Linked DNA regions of Macaca fascicularis. The protein of the gene in region 1 binds, or shares a complex with, the protein of each later gene. Links are inferred from orthologs where the notes say so. Each region holds a gene or a part of one and is shown in the gene's direction. Other genes may lie near its edges.

Region 1 (3,569 bases):
CTTCCCATCCCCAACACAATGATCTAATTCAATTACAGAGTGTAATGTTTAAAATCCTGATCAAATGACTTAGACTGTAGTAATAGTTTTAGACAGAATTTTATAGGATGATGATTTAATTTTATCTGTTGTCTGGGATGATCTGTAATCATGTATCTTACTAGCCGAAAATGACGTCAATGAGATTATTAAAGGTCTGCTCTTTTAAGATCTGTAAGTCTCCTACCACTGTCTTTTTAAATTTTTTTAAATTTTTATTTATTTATTTTTTGAGATGGAGTCTCACTCTGTCGCCTAGGCTGGAGTGCAGTGGTGTGATCTCGGCTCATTGCAAGCTCCGCCTCCCAGGTTCATGCCATTCTCCTGCCTCAGTCTCCCGAGTAGCTGGGACTACAGGCTCCTGCCACCGCGCCTGGCCAATTTTTTGTATTTTTTAGTAGAGACGGGGTTTCACCGCATTAGCCAGGATGGTCTCGATCTCCTGACCATGTGATCTGCCTGCCTTGGGCTCCCAAAGTGCTGGGATTACAGGCATGAGCCACCGTGCCTGGCCCATACCACTGTCTTAATTTAGGAAAAATGAAACTTTCGTTTTGAACAGTTTTTTTAATCTGTTGTGAGGTTTGCTTGAATTGTGTTCTTATAAATGAAGTTTATTTTGTTCCTCTCTCTCTGGCATGGACTCCTTAAGTGTCTTACATTATTGGTTTCTGCTTTAGTCATTTCTTCAGAGTCCCAAAAGGTTCATCCCGTATGTTCTATTTTCATGTCATGAACACATGAAACTTCAGATGGAAAGCTTGCCAGCTCATTAGAAAATGTTCCTAAATATGAACGGTCATGCTTCACGAAATTCATTGAAATCAGTATGTAAATAGATGACATTGTCAGGGACTGATACTCAATTGTATTGTCCTCAAATAATAAACTGAACACTAACTTCAAACTTCAAGTATTGCTGCCCAAAGCATTCTGCTTTAAACCACAAATTCATCTGCCAGCTGCATTCACAATTGTATTGACAGTGACTGGGTGTTAAAGTTGTATAACTTAAGGCTATAGTTTGTCCTTTAAAAAATGCAAGTTCTTTCAGTTTTGTAAATGTTTTATTCTCACTATGTCTGTTTCTTTTCTTCTTAAGTCTCTTTTGGAAAAGTTCTTGATCCCCAATGCTTCACAAGCAGAGAGCAAAGTCTTCTATTTGAAAATGAAAGGAGATTACTATCGTTACTTGGCTGAGGTTGCCGCTGGTGATGACAAGAAAGGTATGCTGTTTTTAAACCTGTTGGTTGAACTTTAGTGAGGAAGAGTCTCTGAAGTGTAAATAATTCCTTGCTTTTAATTGCTTAGAGTGCTGAATAAGGAGTAGCAGTGCTTTTTTGGTGTTCTGAGAATATATATCTACTGCCTAATACTGGTATTCTAATATATATGCTTTCTGAAAAGCCAATTTTGTGCACAGGGATGTTTTTTCAAGATTTTAAGAAAAGTGACCAGCCTGAGCAACATCTCTCTCTACAAAAAATGTTTTGAAAATTAGCTGGGCATGGTGGTGCAAGTGCAAGCCTTTGGTCCCAGCTAATCTAGAGGCCGAAGTGGGAGGATCACTTGGGTCTGGGAGATCAAGGCTGCAGTGAGCCCTGATTGTGCCACTGCACTCCACCCTGGGTGACAGACCCAGACCCTGTCTCAAGAAAAAAGAAATAGTGGTTACAGTGTAACTGAGGAGTAGTGCAAACTAGTTAATTTTTTAAAAATATAACAGTAATGGAGATTATAAAGTTGTTTTATCTTGACATTGACCAATGACTAGTGTATACCAGGAGAAAACTCCTTTTAAAAAAAAATTAAAGGGCCTTGTTCAATTAACCAGTATTAAGCTGTTACAGATTAGTATTTCAAAGGATACCTGAGATATTAAAGGTTTGGTTTGAGGGGTGAAGATACAATGCACACTTTATCTCAGTACGTTTTGGTGTGTCTTTATCCAGGGATTGTGGATCAGTCACAACAAGCATACCAAGAAGCTTTTGAAATCAGCAAAAAGGAAATGCAACCAACACATCCTATCAGACTGGGTCTGGCCCTTAACTTCTCTGTGTTCTATTATGAGATTCTGAACTCCCCAGAGAAAGCCTGCTCTCTTGCAAAGACAGTATGTATTTTACCTGTTACATAGAAATTTAGCAGTCTTTATTACTTGAGCACTGAAATCTAATGTACTATTTTTAAATCATAGGCTTTTGATGAAGCCATTGCTGAACTTGATACATTAAGTGAAGAGTCATACAAAGACAGCACGCTAATAATGCAATTACTGAGAGACAACTTGACAGTAAGTATATAACAGCATCATTAGTGATGAATGTGGTTGAAGAGGTTATGTTTTACTCTGAGGAATTTTTATTAAATCTTTTAAAAATTTTTTCTCAACACAATTCATAGGCTCTCATAAGTAGCTACTGTTAAAATCATATGAAGGAAAACTACAGAAACTGAAATATTAGACTAAGAACTAAAAAATATACACATTGATGTTACCTGTGTTACTAAAATTTGAATGTTAGTATCAAAAGTGTACTGAGGCTCTACATGTTTTAGTTCCTTTAAGAATGATTTTCTTGCCCATCAAGTTGCCTCTGTATTTGTAAAGATAATGGTAGGGAATTAATAACTTGAGTTATAAAATCTCAGGTGTCTGCAGAATCTAAGTGGAAGTCTATTTTGCCTAGCTGCTGCTTTTAAATGACTTAATATGAAAGGTCGTGATTGTCCTTGGGATACTGCAGATGTATAAAAAGAAACAGTGTCACTATCACACTAGAAACATCAACAGTAATTCCCTAATAATGTTTGAATATCTAAATAATACTTGAATTCCAATTGTCTCTCTTTTTTTAAGTTATTTGAATTGGGATTCAAATTCAGTCCACAGTGCAGTTGATTTGTATGTCTTGTTTCTTAGGTCTTCTCATTCAGATCAATATTAGATTTGAAATTTTGAGGCTTAGGTGAAAAAATTATCAAGCATTTGCTGTGTTGTGTCAGGTAAAGAGGTAGGAATTGCAGATGATAATCTAGTATTACGGTTTTTTTGTTAGACTTTTAGGGCCATTTCTCTTGGGGATTATATAACCTCATTTTATACATTTCTCTTCCAACTTTATTCTAGTCCACTGCCATTTTCTATGAACTAGTTATATATTCTAGTGCTGAAAATATTGTTTTTTGAATAGCATTGTATACTTGTTTATTAAACCTAAAATTACTTTATTAGCGCAATTTGGAGCTACCTATAAACTTTTCTGATACTTGAGTCAAGATAATAAGCTATAGTAAAGAATGAAAGAATCTTTATATCAAATGTTAAGAAGCACTTTGTTAACTAACTTTGGTATTAAGGATTTTTCTTTTCTAGTTTGAAGTGATGACATTTTTCAAGTGATGACCTGAGACCTAGATACTGTGTTTTGTTCTCATCACTTTTGGAAAGGCCCTGATCTACTGTCTGCTTCCAACTGAATTTTGCTATCAGTATAGCATGAAGAGCATATATTGCAATAAGAAAA
Region 2 (3,569 bases), on another chromosome or scaffold:
TAAAGCTGTGTCTGTAAACTGATGGCTAACAAAACTAGGATTCTGGTCACTTCTAAAATGGAACATTTAAAGAAAGCTGACAAAATATTAATTTTACATGAAGGTAGCAGCTATTTTTATGGAACATTTTCAGAACTCCAAAATCTACGGCCAGACTTTAGCTCAAAACTCATGGGATATGATTCTTTCGACCAATTTAGTGCAGAAAGAAGAAATTCAATCCTAACTGAGACCTTACGCCGTTTCTCATTAGAAGGAGATGCTCCTGTCTCCTGGACCGAAACAAAAAAACAATCTTTTAAACAGACTGGAGAGTTTGGGGAAAAAAGGAAGAATTCTATTCTCAATCCAATCAACTCTATACGAAAATTTTCCATTGTCCAAAAGACTCCCTTACAAATGAATGGCATCGAAGAGGATTCTGATGAGCCTTTAGAGAGAAGGCTGTCCTTAGTTCCAGATTCTGAGCAGGGAGAGGTGATACTCCCTCGCATCAGCGTGATCAGCACTGGCCCCACGCTTCAGGCACGGAGGAGGCAGTCTGTTCTGAACCTGATGACACACTCAGTTAACCAAGGTCAGAGCATTCACAGAAAGACAGCAGCATCCACACGAAAAGTGTCACTGGCCCCTCAGGCAAACTTGACTGAACTGGATATATATTCAAGAAGGTTATCTCAAGAAACTGGCTTGGAAATAAGTGAAGAAATTAATGAAGAAGACTTAAAGGTAGGTATAAATTGCTTGTGGGTATTTCACCATACAGGGTGCAATTGAGTAGAATGCAATATGTAGCATGTAACAAAATTTACTCAAATCATGGGATTAGGATAAGGTTTATCTTAAAACTCAGACAGTATGAAGTTCATTAATTATGTAAGCAACTTTAAAATGTAAAATAACAAATGATTTCTTTTTGCGATGGACATATCTCTTCCCATAAAATGGGAAAGGATTTAGTTTTCGGTCCTTTACTAAACCAGTGATAATTGTGACTATAAGTTAGAAAGCATCTACTTTATTACCATCTGAACCCTCTATGGGAAGAGGTGCAGTATAAGTAACTGTATAAATAAATAGTAGCTTTCATTATTTATAGCTCGCAAAATAATCTGTATGGAAGTAGCTTATATAAGGTGTATAAACATTTAGACTCTTGATGGGACTCACATTCTAGTTTGTGTATCAGTCTTGCCTGAATTTAGCTATTGTGGGCTTTTTTTATCTTGTGAGTTTGCTTTATACATTGGGTTGCTAAAGAGATTTCTTTTAGAGAAGGTATATGAAGCTCAACATGTACTAGTGCCAATCTTCAGACAGAAAGTTTGTTATATTAGGTCTTAAGAATAAAAGTATTTTATTTTTAAAACAAGAAATAATGTAAAAAGGAGAGTTTTTGTTATTTTAGTAGAAAACTTAATGCCTTGGATGAAATGAGCCATGGGCAGGGTTGTAATTAATTGATATATTTAATAGTATAGATCATTTGAGAATAATGTGACCTTTGACAAGACACAAGCCATTAACATCTCTAGGCTGAAGTTTCCTTCTTTGTAAAATGAGGGAATAAAATAGATCCCTAAAGTGCGTAATTTTAGAATTTCCATACTTTACGAAGGTTTCCTAAACGATAATTCATTTATATAGTGTTTTGTTTGTTTGTTTGTTTGAGATGGAGTCTCACTCTGTTACCCAGGCTGGAGTACAATGGCGTGACCTCGGCTCACTGCAACCTCTGCTTACTGGGTTCAAGCAATTCTCCTGCCTCAGCCTCCTGAGTAGCTGGGATTACAGGCATGCACCACCACACCCAGCTAATTTTTGTATTTTTAGTAGAGAAGGGGTTTCATCATGTTGGCCAGGCTGGTCTCGAACTCCTGACCTTGTGATCTGCCCCCCTTGGCCTCCCAAAGTGCTGGGATTACAGGCATGAGCCACCGCGCCCAGCCTGAGCCACTGTGCCCAACCCATTTATATAATTTAATATCAATCTAAATGAATTTCTCAATCCTGAGCCTAAAAATTTAGTTGTAAAGAATGATAGCCTTGACTAATAATAGTTTCCATTTATGGATTGCATCTAGTTCTAGGTGGCATACATTTAGTCCCCACAACTACCCTGGAAGGTACTTAAAATTTTTCACATTTGCAGATAAGGAAATTAAAGTTCAGAGAAGTTCAGCAACACGCTTGAATTCAGGCGGCTCCTAGGCTGTTAATGGTGGAGTTTGGGTTCAAATTCAGATCTGTCTGACTCAAAAAATGCATACTCCTAACCAGTGCACTATATCCCAATACCATAGGACCTCTTCTTTGTGATTCATAGTGCTTTCCTATGAGTTTTGTTGATCTTGTGAGAAACAAAACTATCTTTTTCCTTTGGACTATCTGGAATCTCTCTTTTTCAAAATTTTGAAATGTATCGATATGCCAAAAGACAAAGATTTCTAGAGGAATAGGAATATGCCTAGGATGAGAATTATGTAATTTAAATCATAGTTGCAAAGAGAGATAGTCCTAAGTTACTAAGGAATGTTCAAACACAAATGGGCTTTCAGTCTACTGGAAGACCTTTATAGTATATACAGTGCAGTATACTGACCTGTACTTGTCCATGGACCCCTGAAGAAACAGGTTAAATCAAAGAGAGTTCTGGGAAACTTCATTTAGGTGGTATCATTCATTTGATAAAAGGTATGCCACTGTTAAGCCTTTAATGGTAAAACTGTCCAATAATAATACAGTTACATAATCAGTGATACATTTTTAGAATTTTGAAAAATTACGGTGTTTCTCAGTTTTAATAAAGCTGTGTTGCTCCAGTAGACATTATTCTGACTATAAAATGACATCATACATGGCATTTATACTGATTTATATTTGTTAAAATACACTTAGATTCAAGTAATACTATTCCTTTATTTTCATATATTAAAAATAAAACCACCATGGTGGCATGAAACTGTATTGTCTTATTGTAATAGCCATAATTCTCTTATTCAGGAGTGCTTTTTTGATGATATGGAGAGCATACCAGCAGTGACTACATGGAACACATACCTTCGATATATTACTGTCCACAAGAGCTTAATTTTTGTGCTAATTTGGTGCTTGGTAATTTTTCTGGCTGAGGTAAGACTGTTCTATTGTAAAGTATACTGTGATTTAAAGTTAAATTAAGATAGTTTCGAAGGATGTATACATATATATGCACACACTTAAATATGTATATATACACATACATATATATGTATACATGTATGTGTGCATATATACACACATATATAACTATGTATAAGTATGTATATATTTATATATTACATATATTTGTGATTTTACAGTATATAATAGTATAGATTCATATAATTCTTAGCTTCTGAAAAATCAACAATTAGAATCACTATTGATATTTTACTATTTCGTATTACATATAAAATATATTTAAATACAAATATAAGAAGAGTTTTTAATAGATTTTAATAATAAATGTTAAGAGATTCAAAAACTCAAAAGTAGAAGGCTTTTATTTGGATTGAAATTAACCAATTAGAATCACTATTGATATTTTA

Evidence for each region. The genes of interacting proteins can lie anywhere in the genome.
Region 2: the proteins of YWHAZ (region 1) and CFTR are in contact, whole or in part, in a crystal structure (PDB 5D2D), measured with the Homo sapiens proteins. The link is inferred for Macaca fascicularis from reciprocal best matches to the Homo sapiens genes YWHAZ and CFTR. Residues at the interface, in NP_001129171.1 of Homo sapiens: Asn38, Arg41, Asn42, Ser45, Val46, Lys49, Arg56, Arg60, Glu113, Phe117, Lys120, Arg127, Tyr128, Glu131, His164, Pro165, Ile166, Gly169, Leu172, Asn173, Val176, Glu180, Ile217, Leu220, Asp223, Asn224, Thr226, Leu227, Trp228; in NP_000483.3 of Homo sapiens: Arg764, Arg765, Arg766, Gln767, Ser768, Val769, Leu770, Asn771, Leu772, Met773, Thr774.

Annotation. Positions count from the first base shown.
Region 1 is NC_088382.1:110,550,192-110,553,760, reverse strand, and holds part of YWHAZ (14-3-3 protein zeta/delta), read left to right. Parts: intron 1-1,141; coding exon 1,142-1,265; intron 1,266-1,991; coding exon 1,992-2,155; intron 2,156-2,239; coding exon 2,240-2,335; intron 2,336-3,569.
Region 2 is NC_088377.1:159,037,781-159,041,349, forward strand, and holds part of CFTR (cystic fibrosis transmembrane conductance regulator), read left to right. Parts: intron 1-5; coding exon 6-729; intron 730-3,003; coding exon 3,004-3,132; intron 3,133-3,569. UniProt on the Homo sapiens protein: Epithelial ion channel that plays an important role in the regulation of epithelial ion and water transport and fluid homeostasis. Mediates the transport of chloride ions across the cell membrane.